3 linked regions of the Yarrowia lipolytica genome follow. The protein of the gene in region 2 interacts with the protein of the main gene of each other region in a pairwise test. Links are inferred from orthologs where the notes say so. Each region holds a gene or a part of one and is shown on either strand. Other genes may lie near its edges.

The links. The genes of interacting proteins can lie anywhere in the genome.
Region 1: the proteins of YALI1_B07162g (region 2) and YALI1_C33406g interact in binary tests that used the Saccharomyces cerevisiae proteins (3 or more experiments, as listed by UniProt). The link is inferred for Yarrowia lipolytica from reciprocal best matches to the Saccharomyces cerevisiae genes KEX1 and CHS3.
Region 3: the proteins of YALI1_B07162g (region 2) and YALI1_C03378g interact in a protein complementation assay, tested with the Saccharomyces cerevisiae proteins (2 studies listed by BioGRID). The link is inferred for Yarrowia lipolytica from reciprocal best matches to the Saccharomyces cerevisiae genes KEX1 and FLC2.

Annotation. Positions count from the first base shown.
Region 1 is NC_090772.1:3,336,084-3,342,751, reverse strand, and holds YALI1_C33406g (uncharacterized protein), read left to right. Parts: upstream 1-2,134; coding exon 2,135-5,815; downstream 5,816-6,668. Other genes in the region: YALI1_C33427g (uncharacterized protein), read left to right, coding at 1-894; YALI1_C33354g (uncharacterized protein), read right to left, coding at 5,898-6,668. UniProt on the Saccharomyces cerevisiae protein: Polymerizes chitin, a structural polymer of the cell wall and septum, by transferring the sugar moiety of UDP-GlcNAc to the non-reducing end of the growing chitin polymer.
Region 2 is NC_090771.1:714,352-718,893, reverse strand, and holds YALI1_B07162g (uncharacterized protein), read right to left. Parts: upstream 2,687-4,542; coding exon 842-2,686; downstream 1-841.
Region 3 is NC_090772.1:335,853-341,014, forward strand, and holds YALI1_C03378g (uncharacterized protein), read left to right. Parts: upstream 1-2,014; coding exon 2,015-4,309; downstream 4,310-5,162. Other genes in the region: YALI1_C03360g (uncharacterized protein), read right to left, coding at 64-193, 250-406, 555-645; YALI1_C03374g (uncharacterized protein), read right to left, coding at 1,049-1,602, 1,665-1,668; YALI1_C03415g (uncharacterized protein), read right to left, coding at 4,772-5,162. UniProt on the Saccharomyces cerevisiae protein: May be responsible for the transport of FAD into the endoplasmic reticulum lumen, where it is required for oxidative protein folding.

The sequences.
Region 1 (6,668 bases), on a different chromosome or scaffold from region 2:
AACGTCAACTACGAGAGCGTTTTTGACGACGAAGAAAAAGAGACGACCAAAGATGAGTCACATCCACCCACACCCACAAAGACCACCCCCTCTCGCAGAACGTCGCTGGGCCACCAGTCGCTAGTGGGCTCTTATGAGGAGTCGCTACTGTCAGGCAGGATGTCTGCTTCGACATCAAAAACAGTCCCTTTCCATGCAGGTATTGGAGTTCTTGGTAAAGGGGGCTGCAACAAGCTGCTGCGATGTCCCAAGCAGATCAATATGTCCTTCAACGCTGGCTTTGTGGTCTGGGAAGACATTGCAAACACCAGCTCGCTCGTCTCAGCCACAGGAAGCCCCTACGTGGGCATAATTTCTCTAACAGAGTACTACCAGGCCCGGTTTGCCAGGAGAGAGAAACGAAAAACGACACAAGGAGAGCCCAGTGAAAGGACCAGAGTCAAAACGTTTCCAGGATACCGGATACCTCCCGTGGGCCAGCTCCAAGTGGTGGTATCCAACCTGCAAAAGACAGCAGTCAAGCTCTTTCTGATACCCTACAACGTTGCTGAAATGCCCAGCGGCACCCGAACATTTATTCGGCAAAAGGTCTATTCTGCATCGAGCACCCCTGGCTCCAAAGGCACCCTAGTCCATGCTGCACACATTCCTATCGTTCGTCTGGACAATGACAAGCTGTATCTTTGCGGGGACATTCGTCTGGTGTTCCAGAACCGAGTGTTGAACGGTGGTGCAATGAACGACACGACCTTAACTTCTCAGGAGCCTTCCAAGGACAATAACGATTTCACCAAGCACTACCTAGGCCTCGGGAGATCAAAGGACAACATGGTGATTGAGGAGATGATGGGCGGATGGTCCAAGGTGTCTGAGACACCAGCATGTTCACAATGAGCGCCGAACCACTCTATTTATTTGCATTAGCGTACAGAACTCTTGCTGACGCCTTACTCCCTACTGATTTGATATTCTTGTGTACCTTCGAAGGTGCATCCCTTTTGGTCATTGTATTTACGCATCAATCCATACCCCATCCTGACATCTGAATGGCTTTGTAATAGTACATACCTTACATACTGTACAGCTCATACATACCGTCGCTTAGTGATAGATTTGCATCAACAGAAATGTGGCTTAACACGCAACCTTTCGCGGGTATATGGTATTTTTTTTATTCTACAGTAGGGAAATACATTGCAGCTACTGAGGGCTGTGTGCACCCAACAGGGTCATGAAACAGGCGTTTTGGGCATATCCGTTTATGGCAGCAAGATTACTGTAATTAATTATCGTCCTGGTAAAATTGCCTTGTCCACCAATACTGTAGATGACGTCATCAGTGTATATTGAGTGGACGAAATGTTGCCCTAACAATAAATATTATTGGAGAAAAGCGCGATTCGCCTCTGCTTTTATCCTATTTACCCGATCATATTCAAGTATTATTGCTGTCTACCTCATTTGCGCCTTCATCCCCAGACGCTTATTAATGCGTCGGCTTTTTATAGGTTGCTCCCAACAGCGGTGACCATAAAATTGAGACACAGTTGACCTGCACACAAACCAGCCACCGACGCGTGTCGGTAGCGAAGTCAAAGTTAACCCCTTAGCTAAAAAGTCGTCTATTTATAGCCGCCTCACGTGGTGCATTGCAGGGACTATTGTCGATGACGAGTCCGCTGGAGGCGAAAAAGCGACAAAGAACCGAAATCTGTCATTTGTTTCTGCGCCGGAAATACTGTACCTGCTTTATGACTCAAACATTGGTGTACTTTTTTTTTAGCCTCCTGGGGTTTACCCTTCGCCATAATAAGACTACTTTGTAGGTGCCCATACAGCTCAAAATTTTAAGTTTGTATATTTTTGGAACGCAGTCCAAGGAAAAACAGAAACCTTCGAACATCGAAATCCTTACTTTACTACAGTACAGTAGCTGGATATTGCACCTGAGCTTCACAAAGTGAGTACATTTCGACTAAATTGTTCAAGCGCGCGGAGCAATCACAAGAAGTGAGTACGCGGCCCACGACTGGACCTGCGTTACGCGTTCTGTTCCCCACAAGACCACGTTTTTTTTTTCTTTTCTTTCTTTCATTACACCCCCTCCCCTGACGTGTGGTCCAACAGCAAACACATGACTAACACAGTGGATTCGTACAACAAATTCGGATTCAACTCGGAGACGGGTGAGCCCAACACTGGCCCCCAGGACACATCTGGCAGTGTCCCCAGTGAACACAGAGGCGACGGCTCGTTCTCCCCCGACATTGGACGAAAGAAGTCTCTCATTCGACCTGACCGAGCTCGACTCGACCCCGACTCGCGAACTTATCACTACTCGCAGCTGGCCGCCCAGCAGCAAAGCAGAATCAACGTGCTTCCCAGTTCCACCGGAAATGACCCTATTCTCGAGGAGCACTACATGCGCGAGACTGGCGAGATCCAGCCTGGTCAGGGATACGATCAGCCCTACGACAACGCCGTGAACCAGGAGGTGCTAGAGGAGGAAAACGAGGAATCATACAGAGAGGGAGAGGAGGACCCTTACGCCTACTCGGGCCGTCAGGTCTATGGTCTCAATGACGAGGTCCAAACCGAGGCCTACGTGCGAAAGTCGGACGAAATCTCCTCATCAGAAGAACAGGCTGCCGACACCCAACCGCCCATCATCGACCCACCTGTCAACGAAAAGGTTCAGCTCAGCCGTGGAGGAGGAACACTGAAGCGACACAACTCCGTCAAGCGACGAATGGGCACCCAACCCAAGCAGATTTCGCTGTGGATGACCTACTGTCAGATTGTTACCTTCTGGGCCCCCGCTCCTGTGCTCAAGATGTTTGGCATGCCCCAAAAAGCCCGACAGGACGCCTGGCGAGAAAAGATTGGCCTCATCACTGTTATTCTTTACATTGCCGCCTTTGTTGCATACCTGACTTTCGGCTTCACCATCACAGTTTGTTCCAGTTCCATCACCCGAGTGCGAAACGGAGAAGTCAACTCTGGAAACCTCATCATTAATGGTAAGCAATACGACTTTACCTCTATGAACCACCCTCCCACAGTCGAGGTTCCTACTGGCGGTAACTTCATGTACCCTCCTGTTAATGCTGGATCCATGGACGGTTCTTTGCTGTTCCAGAACGTCAACAACCACTGCAAGGGTCTAATCACCCCCAAGCCCGACTGTAAAATTCCCTACAACGGCGACAGCGTTGCCTGGTATATGCCCTGCCAGCTGCTCAACCAGGACGGATCTTCCCAACCCAACACTACTGAGCAGTTCTACCCCGGCTACGCATGCCACACTTCCACCACCGCTCGAAACGTCTACTACCACCAGCTGGTTGATGCCGGTGAGGTCTACTTCACCTGGGACGATATCAAGAACTCTACTCGAAACCTGGCTGTGTTCAACGGAGCTGTCATTGACCTGAACATGGTCAACTTCATTCTTAAGGACGACCTCAACTACCCCGAGATCTTTGACACTCTGCGAGATGACGATTCCATCAAGGGTACTGATATCTCTCGTAATATGGCCAACGGTCCTGATCGACAGGCTGCCCGATGTCTGCAAGAGATTGCCAAGGTTGGATACATTGATACCGAGCAGATTGGATGTCTGGCTTCCCAGGTTGTTCTGTATGTATCTCTGGTTTTCATTATCTCCATTGTCGCCGTCAAGTTCCTATTTGCTATCTACTACAAGTGGGCCATTTCTGCCAAGCAGGGAGCTTTCCCCATTGACAACAAGCAGATGAACCAGCGAGAGAACGAGATTGAGGACTGGTCCGAGAACATTTACAGCCAGGCTCCCATCAAGCGAGTGGACCGAGACCAGCCTAAGTCCAGTGCCACTCCCTTCCGTGGCCTCATCAAGCACCGATTCAACCAGCACGACAATAAGAACAAGCGAATGAGCACAATGGTGACCCAGGTTGGTGAGAGTGGAACTGCTCCTTCCGTCTACTCTCGAAACTCCGCTGCGATCGACTCCAACACTGATGTTGGCGGTGTTGTCTACGATTACGACTCTGGATCTCAGCCCTACGAGGCGCCCACCGTCAACGTTGTGCCCCAGCCCCCCATCGACTACCAACCGTTCAACTACCCTCTCGCCCACACCATGTGTCTGGTGACTGCATACTCCGAGTCGATTGACGGTCTGAGAACCACCCTTGACTCTATCACCACAACCGACTACCCTAACTCCCATAAACTCATTGTTATCATTGCCGATGGTATTATTAAGGGTTCCGGTAACGACATGTCTACCCCTGACATTTGTCTAAGTATGATGTGTGATATGCCTATCCCCGAAGACCAGGTGAGACCCTTCTCTTACGTATCTACTTCTTCTGGTACAAAGCGTCATAACATGGCCAAGGTCTACTCTGGTTTCTACGCCTACGATGATGCCACAGTTCCACCTGAGAAGCAGCAGCGAGTCCCCGTTGTGACTATTGTCAAGTGCGGTACGCCTGCTGAGGCCAACGAGGCCAAGCCTGGTAACCGAGGTAAGCGAGACTCCCAGATCATTCTCATGTCGTTCTTGCAGCGTGTCATGTTCGACGAGCGAATGACCGAGCTGGAGCACGAGATGTTCAACGGTATCTGGCGAGTGACTGGTATTCTTCCCGACTTTTATGAAATCATTCTCATGGTGGATGCCGATACTAAGGTGTTCCCTGACTCTCTGACCCACATGGTGGCTGAGATGGTCAAGGATCCCGAGATTATGGGACTATGTGGAGAAACCAAGATTGCCAACAAGCGAGACTCTTGGGTCACTGCGATCCAGGTGTTTGAATACTACATTTCTCATCACCAGGCTAAGGCCTTTGAGTCCGTCTTTGGTGGTGTCACTTGTCTGCCTGGTTGTTTCTCCATGTACCGAATCAAGGCTCCCAAGGGCGGAGACGGCTACTGGGTGCCCATTCTTGCCAACCCTGATATCGTCGAGCGATACGCTGACAACGTGATTGACACTCTGCATAAGAAGAACCTGTTGCTTCTCGGAGAAGATCGATACCTGACCTCCCTCATGCTCAAGACCTTCCCCACGCGAAAACAGGTGTTTGTGTCCAAGGCTGTCTGCAAGACCATTGTTCCCGACAAGTTTTCTGTTTTGCTGTCTCAGCGAAGACGATGGATTAACTCCACTGTGCATAACCTGATGGAGCTGGTGCTGGTCAAGGATCTATGTGGTGTCTTCTGTATTTCCATGCAGTTTGTTGTCTTCATCGAGCTTGTTGGTACCCTGATTCTTCCCGCCGCCATCTCGTTCACCATCTACGTTGTCATTATTGCCATTGTGAGAAAACCTACGCCTGTCATGTCGCTGGTTCTGCTGGCTCTGATTTTGGGTCTGCCGGGTCTTCTCATTATCATCACAGCATCTCGATGGTCATACGTCGTGTGGATGTTCATCTACCTGCTATCTCTTCCCATTTGGAACTTTGTGCTCCCCGTCTACGCATACTGGAAGTTTGATGATTTCTCCTGGGGTGACACTCGACAGGTTGCTGGTGAAAAGAAGGGCTCTGGAGGCCACGACGAGGAGGATGGTGAATTTGACTCGTCTCAGATTGTCATGAAGCGATGGAGAGACTTTGAAATGGACAAGCGACGCTACGTGCCACTGCCTCCCCAGAACGCGTGGATGAGCGATCCTCACATGCCTTCTTACAACCACCAAGGATTTTCTGCTAACTCTTCCCCTGCTCTTAGACCCCAGGGCTCTTCTCATGTCTACTCGGACTCGGTTGCCGGAGCCAGTGACTACAACGTTGCTCAAGGCCACGAAGTACTTTAAGGCGTCAAGCCAAAAGCATATATATAATCATGATAAAATTACCGTGTTAACGATGTGTAGCTAGAATCTGTATTGCAATAAATTAAAACGAATGCTGACCAGTAGCAATTCGGTGTAGGAGCTGGAGGGATCCTTGGATTCCAGCCTCAAAATGTCTGGTGAGATACGACCGGCTGTCCTTGGGGGAAATGAATATGGCCAGAATGACACTGGTGAGTCCGATACACAGAGAGAAGAAGAAGATACGTCGGATGGAAATGGACGACGACGAGTTTTTCTTAGAAAGCTTGTTCTGTTCCCGCTGCTGGTTGCGCTTGTCAATGAGTTTCTGGCGGGCCAAACGTTCGTTTTCCTCCCGCACTTCGGACTCCTTAATTTGTAACGAGAGGTATGAGCTAATCAGCGAGGGTGCTGTAGCGGAAGAAGACATGCTGTTAGACGACAGAATGGACTCTGACGGAGATTCAGCCTGGGGCGATTGCGCAGCTGTCGTCTTCAATACAGAGTAGTTTGACAGTTTATGCCAGGCCGGATAATTTTCCAGCATGGTTTTTGACGCTAGTTTCTGGGCTTTTTGGATACATCGAGACACGGTTTCCTGTTCTGTCTTGGGAAAGGTGTTTAGAACACAGTTGATGATGTCTATGTCTTCTGGGTCCAGGTTGCTGAGTTCATCCGATCTTAAAGACGTTAAGGATGCATAAATAAACAGAGGCGTTGCCATGGTCCCAGAAGCTAGAATGAAATCAAACAAGAGACAGACGGTGTCAAATTCGGGAATGTCGTGGGCAAACCAGGTCAGCACTGACGAGATACCGTACACCGGTCTCACCTCTTTGATTTGATCGCCAGT
Region 2 (4,542 bases):
AATAATTATCTGATTGTTTTAATAGTTACTACATTTGTTGTCGTATTATGATTTTTTGGGATTTGCACAAAGCATAATTCTGACTAGAATGTTCAATCGAATCTGTTCAATTTATTATTGAAATGATCCGTTGCTGTATTCACGTTTTTAATTGTTTTGATTGATTATTATTGTTAATATAATTTAGAAGAGAATAGATCTTCTGTAGATTAGATGTTGTCAATAATAATTCTGTGGTTGCAGTTAGTCGAAGTATTAAGTATTACAATCACTATACGCTTTTATCGTTTTCTCACAAGTTGTCACAGCAACATATCATTGGGCAACTTTTTCCCTATAGTGAGACAACTGGCAGTCTTCTCATATTCTATTGAGTTTAATCTATTTTATTTGTAAAAAAAAAAAATGCACACGCCTTTATCGTCTTCTCCACAATTTGTTACTATGAATCACATTTTTCTACATTTTATTTTTTGTTTAGTGACTTTCTCTTTTCGACGATACACAATTCATCACCTCAAACAATGGCAGTGCCTCGAACGAAATGCATATCGCAACGTTTATGATTTATCGAACCCAGCTTACTACAGGCAGAGGTATATAATATATATATATATATATATATATTATATATATAGCTGTAATGAATCATTAGAATAATTTCAAAAAAAGTGGTACGGAGTTCTCCATGGTGCAAGTCAGCGCATGGTGCTGTAGTCAAATTACACAATGTAACTGCCACCAACACAGATACACACGTTTACAATAGAATACTGAGACTAGGATAGGGTTTATTTGTGCTCACGACGGTATTTTATTTTATTCTATCATCCTATGTTTATTACACTTCAGGCCTTCGGATCACAAGCTCTTCGGCATCCTCGTCTTCCTCAGCAATTTCACCAAGATCGTAGTATTCTCCGGGCTCCATCAGTCGTTGCCTGGAGTCGAAAGTACCCTGTTGGTTGGAGAGTGGTCCACCAGAACTGTTTCTCCAACGGGAGATACCTCCGAAACATGAACCGAGGAGCGATGTCTCCTCCTGATAAATATGGCCTCGGTTTTTTCTCCAAAACAGGAATCCTGCGAGCCCCAGGATAATGAGGACAACGATCAGGGCTGTAAATCCAGCCTGGTAGTACGCCTTCCACATGGCATCACTTGCGATTTTCTTATCGTGTTCCGCGTCGTCATCATCGTCACTGGAACTGTCGTCGTCAGATTTTTGGTCGCCAGATTTTTGATCGTCCAAGTCACTGGGGTTTTCACTACCCCTTCCAGGTTTATTACCAGATAGGTCGCTCAGAGCCTTGGAGACGCCAATGAAGTCATTCAGCATTGTCAGACAAGCCTCGGGTTCATCGTAGGGAACCATATGAGAAGCATTGTATATCCTAACATATGTCAGATTTCTGTCACTTTGCTTCTTGCCTTTGGAAACGCCATCGACAACCCAATCGTCGAGCTCCAAGCCCTCGGTCCAACCCTTCTTTCCATTCCATTCCAGCTGTTCAATCATTCTCTCATTTCCGTAATGGTTGCAGATGAGATCTCGATCACCATTGAAAAATAGAATTTCCATGCTTTCCAAAAGGTCAGGTAGCAGGTAAACTGCAGCATCGTCATTTCCCTGTCGCATGCGGGAACCAACTGCTCCATTGCATTCCTGCCACGACTCCTGCTTATCGTTGTTGACATTCAGAGCCTGCACTGTTGCGTCTTGTCGTAGCCAATCAGTGACATATGGCAAAATCTCAGGCCAGTTCATACCACACGATGGCCATTTATCTTCCTTGGATACGTCGTAGTAGTTAACACATATTCCTTCAGATTCTGGTGCACTCCGCTCATTTCTGCTCAGTTCCACAATGCCATTCATGATATCTTCACAAGCTCGAATATGGACGGGAAGTCTCCCGTTGTTCTTGTCCTTGGCGATGTTAATGGCTCGCTCGCAAGTGTCTGTAAGCTCTTTGAGATCCTTCACATGTTCTTCCGTCTTTTCAATCACTCCATAGTCCAATGCGTATGGCACATACTGGTAATATTGATTCGCGGGGTCCATCCATCCGTTTCCAATAAGTAGACCTTTAAGATCGACAGTTCTCGTTTGCTGTAATTTGGTTGCGATGTAAGGGATGTACTGACCAGCGTAAGATTCTCCAGCTAGGTAAAAATCATCATGGGCTCTTTCTGGGAACAATTTGAGGAACTGTGTCATGAATGAATCCATCTCATCCCCTACCTGCCCGAGGCCAGTCAGATAAGAATCCGTGTCCGAATAGGAATAACCAGTTCCATAGGGCTGGTCAACAAATAACACGTTGGCATATTTGTGCCAAGAGCCCTTGTTCGGATCTACTCTGAGCTTGTCATCCACGATGCGGAAAGGGCCCACCTCCAACAGGGCTCCATCCATTGATGAACAACCAGGTCCTCCGTTGAACCACACGATAGTTTTAGGGCGCTCTGTGATCTTGTACTGAGCCTCAACAAGCCAGAAAAACAGGTTTCCGTTATGAGCTGCATCAGTGAGAATGTTTCCGGAATGCATCGTGTAATTGTCCACGCTGTCTAGTCCAGGAATGTGGCGGACGAAGTAGTCCGACTGCGACGGTGGTGCCTCATCAAATTGTGACAAGGCTAGTGAAGCAAGTCCACAGAATAAACTCCATGATAACTTCATGGCTGTTTCTTGTGGTTCGAAGTGGTTGGTGAAGTGGACGTGCAATGAATGATTGAAGTTGACCGAGCTTATTCCAATGCGTTGTGCAGTTCAGGAGTGTCGGGCAAGCCAGAGCTACAAGTACATACTGTATAAACTTGTAGGAATAGTACAGTACTGTCCAAATATGCATGACGAATATAAAACAAGTGAACTAAAGTGTTTCTTCACGATGACGGATCAATCTACTTGTGAGTCACAATGCAAGTGTCACATCCGCATCTTTGGTTTGTGATTACTAACATGACACGCCGCCCAACTGGCTAACCCTTACCTTTTATCCGAAACAGGACAAAAGTACGGCTCTTGAAATTACCACTGGAAGCGTTGTATGTGTGTGAAATATGAGGCTTAAATTTACACAAGCAATTGTGCCCGAATGACCCGCCCTTAAATGACCGTGCTGCGAGTGTCTGAGTGTTATCCGAATACGACGCGTGCTTCCCATGCACCTTCCATCTCTCGCGTTAATTACTTAAAATGAACTCAAACTCACAGATTCCGAAAGTGAAGGTACGGCATGTACTCGTACTCGAATAGGATGTTATTAGAATCAAATATATAGTGTGAGATGCTCTCGTACCGGTATAAACATTACATTAGTACTGGTACGATTGTCACACGTGTATACTTACCATACGAGTAAGGCAGTACAAGTAGTACCAGTTTTAGTACAGACTTCCTTGCACGCGAACTGAGGAGTTCCTGAAGAATCTTTCTGCAAGCCCAGAAGAGATACACATACATACTGTCCCAGTATCAGATGTACAGAGCACGGGAGGCCCCTGCAGTAATGGGTTCGATAAACCCAATAATGCAACAAGTGTGACAAGTATTACTTGTACTTGTACAAGTACAAGGTAGCTAATTTCGTAGTTGCTTAATAGAGAACTTCAGTTGGAGCGGGCCATACTTCCTGCATTATAGGCTGTTGATATATTAAAAACAAGCATAGGCGTTTGTACAATACAGCCGGCTATGACACCAACAAGCAACTGGTCATCGCGCAGCTTGTACAAGTACCAGTACCTGGTACTGAAAATGATGTGAGACTCACAATTTGCCCATCTGAAGTCGATAATATATTGAGTAACTTGTTCAGGTGATATTCTGTCGCTGCCGAAAATATCCCCCACCCCCGGTATTGGACGCTGTATTGAACATTACGTATGGACTCATAGAGTATATATAAGTAATTTTATATATATATATATATGTAGACGAGCGTTAACCTGGTAGCAAAATAAAACTAAACCTTAGAATGTGGTCGCGTGCGCATTCTCCAGGGCAGTGCAAATGCATACTACTGTACTGTGTGTACTATGTACATGTTGATCATGACGTTGTGAATTCATGACTGATGCAAGTACATACTGTATTTGTGCAATAGCGGGACGAGCAAGGCTGTCGGGAGTAGCAGGCAGGGTGCAACACAAAAACGCACATTATTTCTATGAATAAGTCGTACGGCACTCGTACTAGCCACGAGGTTTTGCTGTGCCTTTAGTCACTGAGCTATTATTGTGTCGATAGCCACCCGAAGTCACCACGGAACTACATTTAGGCGCCTATTCTCAGTCATGTGCAAGTACAGAAGGTACATACTGTAACACGAATTACTGATAAACTGTACTTGTACGGGGCCGTGCCTTATAACAGTACAGTACTGTAGCTACCAGATTCTGAAACACGGGCCGAACTGCAGTCGCCGACCACCCCTACAAATTTCAATTCAGAAATTTCAATTCAGAGAACATACGATTTTTCATAATCACAGTGCACTCTCATACCGAACTTCCTCGTTGCTTATACTTTTC
Region 3 (5,162 bases), on a different chromosome or scaffold from region 2:
CACCCTCCTACAGCCTACCAGCAGTCGCCTCTCCCTCCTCCAATGTACAATAAGTATTCTAATCTACTTATGAGTCTGAACGCCGTCATCCACGACTCGCGGCATCTGTCGAACCCCTGAAACGACGCGATATCGGCCACTCACTACCCAAACCCACACTGCGCTTCGGTTCTGCCTCGTCAACCACCTTTTCCTGACCCTGCTGCTGCCATCGCAGTTCAACAGCAATATGCAACCACCCAGCAGCACGCAGCAACGAAGAGCTGGGGTATTATGCCATGCAGCAACCCTATCAGCAGGGCAGGCGTTGGGAATGCGAATGTGAATGCGAATGCGAATGCGAATTGCCGGTCACGTGACCTCAGACCGCCCGGCGACCCGGCGACCGGCGACCCGACGACCTGGTCTGAACACGCCTAAACGGTGGACCCGTGGCGCCAACTGTAGCTGCGGCGCTGACTACGACACGGCTATTTCGCCTTGTTTCAGGTGGAAATAGTGTGTAGGTTCAGTTTACAGCCGCTTCATTTATAGGCTTCATTTATAGGCTTCACTTTGGGGCATGTGAAGTGGAGGTTTCAAATAGAGGACGAAACGGAGGGAATATCGGTAATCTGGCAGTTTCAATGGATTCCGAACGGCCATTCTAATATATTTATGTTTTTTTAATTTCAGAAAAATGCTTCTGAAGAGGCCAGGCAGTAGAAGGAGGGTGAGATTGGCGTCAGCGTTGCAAAAGCTTGTCCATGTTTTCGTAAACTAATTTCCAACTAATGTCCCAACTGTTTGCTGTTAATGGTAATGCATACAATTGGCGATATCTGAAAATATTGTATGACAGGGGGTGTTTTTTGTTGTATTTTAGTTATAAACTTGCTAATTACGTATCCATTAATGTCCTCATTATATTTCTACAACCTCTGCATCATTGAATTTGCACCCCCAGCACCACTTTTCTTCCAACTAAACTCCCAACTAATTTGCCAAAGTCTAAGTACTGCAACCGGTAGTAGCCCCAATGTATACTGTGAACCCACCCTTCACCCAACTACCAAAAGACACATTTCACCACTGCGCCACCGAAGCCCAGCTCTCCACTCTGGCAACTCTGGGCATTTTCTTCTCCGGAATGTGCTCTCCTCTCACTTGGCGCGTGCAAGAGCTGAGGGGGACATTTCGTACTAATCACTATACTGCACTGTACACACGGTAAAGCGATAGGTCCAAAGGTGCTGGGGCGACAACATCCCGTTCTGTTCACGTGACCACAGCACCGACGCCCGGTCCGCGTCACGTGACGCCAACAACGTCCCAATCCACGTGACTTGGTTTCTTCTGTCAACATCGTCGCGCGTCTCCACATCACTAAGTTCTCCGTGTGTTGCTTCTTTTCCAGATCTGACACTGTCCAAAGTCTAAAGTCCGCCCCCTGACGTGAAGATGGAGGAGTGTAAAGTCGGGATCGTGTTTTGAAGAGACGGACCTCGGGAAATGAAAGGGGGAAAAGAGACCTTTCCGCGGAGCGTGTCACGTGATCTCCGGAAAACGGGAACCGTGCGAATGTCTCTTTCTTCTGGATCGACGGCGGTACTCGTACTGGCACTGTGCTGATGGTAGTTACAAGTTGTGTCTTCGGGCTGTGTAGTCTTTGTATGTCAGAATACGCATGAAGGGTGCGTATCTTCGGTGCTTTGTTTAGGTTATTTTTAGGTGGGCCAAAAGATACTCGAGATGATGCTTAAAATTGTTATCACTGTACTTGTACACCACTTTTGATTGTTACTGAGAACGACGACAGAGCTCGAGACATTCAAGACACGTCAAGACAGCTCCATTCGGCTATATTCAGCTTACTCAGCTCACTCAGCTTACTCAGCTTACTCAGCTTTCTCAGCTTACTCAGGTGATCACCCTGTTACCCCGAAACAACCAACCCACACCTACAGTCACACCCAGTCACACCCAGTCACACCCAGTCACACTCACTCACACTCATTGGACCAAAGACACCAAGATGAATTGGATCTTTCTGCTCAGCCTGGCGAGCTACGCGCTGGCGCTCCACCAGATCGGATCGGACGCGCTCAAGTCGTGCATGACGTCGTCGCAGTTCACCGCGTCCCGGTTCGACATCAAGTTCTTCCCAGACAACCAGACGGCCAATATCGACCTCAAGGCCATCTCCAACCTGGAGGGCAACATCACCGGCACCATCACGCTCAAGGCCTACGGTATCGAGGTAGTCAACGAAAAGATTGACTTTTGCAAAAACAATATGCCCCAGCTGTGTCCGATAGCAAAGGGAAACTTCGACTTCACCACCACCCTCAATGATATCAGTAAGAACGTGGTGGACCAGATTCCCGGCATCGCCTACACCATTCCCGATCTCGACGGTGTGGTCACCGTGAAGGTCCACTACAACGACGACCCCAACACCATCGTGGCCTGTGTGGAGACGTCGCTCAATAACGGCAAAACCGTCCAGACTAAGATCGCCTCGTGGATCATCGCCGGCGCTTGTCTCATCGGAATGGTCACCGCTGGTGTCGTCGCCATCATGGGCCACAGCAACACCGCCGCCCATGTGGCTTCCAACGCCGTCTCGCTCTTCACATACTTCCAGGCCATCGCCATCATCTCCATGATGGCGGTGGAAAAGCTGCCTCCCATCGCAGCTGCCTGGTCGTCCAACTTCACCTGGACCCTGGGCCTTGTCAACGTCAAGTTCATGCAGGACATTTTCAACTGGTACGTCCAGGCCACCGGCGGAACCTCCACCTTCATCATTCGAAACCGACAGCTCATCTCCGTGTCTGTGGAAAAACGGTCTCTTTACGCGCGTGCTCTCAACGCTCTCTCGGATGAAGGAATTACCAACTTCATTGCCTCGTCTAAAGACGCCATCTCAAGACGAATGGCCTCTCGAGGAGATATGGTGGACATGGCTGTGGGCGTGGGCTTGCATCTGCTCAAACGAGACAACAGCACCCTGGATGATCTGGGATCGCAGACCGAGAACCAGAAGGATCCCCGAATCTACGGAAAGACCCTCATTGTTCGAGGAATCGAGCGGGTGGCGTTTCTGTCCAAGATTGAGCTCACCAACGTCTTTCTTACGGGCTGGACCATGTTTGCTTTTGTCGGCTTCTGTCTGGTGTTCCTGGTCATCATTTTCAAGGTGACCATTGAGAACTTCATCCGAATCAAGGTCATGAACCCCGGAAAGTATGAGGAGTACCGCCAGAACTGGAAGTATATCAGCAAGGGCGCCATGTACCGAATGGCGCTGATTGGCTGGCCTCAAATGTCCGTGCTGTGTCTGTGGGAGCTCATTGAACGAGACTCTGCTGCTGTGGTGGTCATCGCCGTCGTCACCTTCCTCACCCTTCTGCTTCTTCTCTGTTTCGGCGGCTTTAAAATCATCATGATGGCCAAGCGATCCATGTCGCTTTACAGAAACCCGGCCTACATGCTGTATGGTGATCCGGTCACCCTCCACAAGTGGGGTTTTCTGTACGTCAACTTCCGAGCCACCGCCTACTACTATGTTCTTGTCATCATCGGGTTCCATCTGGCCCGAGCCCTGGTGATTGCCTTCGCCCAGAAGGCAGGCAAGGTCCAGGGAGTGGTCTACTTTGTCATTGAGCTGGTCTATCTGGTGATTGTGTCGTGGATCAAGCCGTACATGGATAAAACCACCAACGTGTTCAACATTGCGATCGCGTCCATCATGTTCATCAACGCACTGTTCTACATGTTCTTCTCCCAGGTCTTTGGCCAGCCCCTGTATGTGGGCTCCATCATGGCTGTGGTCTTTTTTGTGCTCAACGCCGCCTTCTCGCTCATTCTGATGATTTCGGTCATCATCTCGTCTGTCCGAGCTCTGCTCTCCAAGGACCCCGATCTGCGATATCAGCCCATGCGAGACGACCGAGTGTCGTTCATCCCCCACAACCAGGCCGAAAAGGACGCCCAGGATACCGAGCTGGATGCTCTGGGAGCCACCATGATGGTCTCTGGCGACGATGTCAACCGGGACCCCAACCGACGCTACTCCTCCGACGACGAGTTCCCTCAGCCCCGGCTTCCCAGAGATACTCTGGCCCCTCATTCGGGCTACGAGCGGCCTCTGTCTGGCGGTCCCTACGACGAGCGCGATCCCTTTGCTCTATCCAATCACACAGTCAACTCCGACTACCACGCTCCGGCGGGCAGTGGAGCCTTCTACTCTCACCAGAATGGCTCTGAGCGCGACATGCCACCGCCCGCCACGTCCTACCGAGGATACCAGCCTCCGGGATATTGAAAAAAAAGTGTAAATATTTATTATCGTCAATCGATCACGAATTATCTGAACGGAATGAATGCAGCCGTGTGTGAGCTGTGTAGATCATGTAACGTAAACGGATACAATGGCTCCATCCTTTCTTGACTCGTTTCCACTTCTGCAATTGAGTCGTAGGAGGTGATCTCACTCATGATCATGACTTGTGCACTAACGTTGGCTCTACAGAATAGTCAGAATAGTCCAGCTCGTGCCAGTCGCGTGATTTGAAACGCGACCAACAATGAGAATGTTTCATAAGCTGCGCTAAGTTGGTGATGTCTCACATTCACATTCGTTTCATGACGCGATCAAACTTGTCTACAGTTACCTATTGCGAAACAAAACTGCGGGACAGTTTCTTCTATCATCTATAAATCATTAATTTATACAATCCGTATCCGACGGATTCGTTTTTCCCATTCTTTTTGTCTGCGTCTCCGTCTAAGCGAGAGAAGTGAAGAACTTGTGGGCGAGCTCGACGCCGACAAAGGTGGCGGCGTTGGCGGGGAATGAACGGGCCAGGGCGGGGCCGATACCGGGGAAGAAAGCCTTGATTCCGCCTCGGGCGTAGATGCTCTTGGTGACCTGGGAAATGCTCTGGGGGGTCTCGGACGACTGCAGGACGGACTTGATGGTATCAATGGGGAAGACGGGCACCCACATGGCGACACCAGCCATACCTCCGGCGAAGGAAATGGCGGCGAGAGACAGGGGCTGGGCAGCAGATCCGGGCTCGGCGGGGGGAGACAGCTTTCGCTTGAGGAACTCGTAGGTAGCAAAGTAGAGAGCGGAGCCGGGACCATCTCGGGCCAGAGTGGCGGCAGAGCCCTTG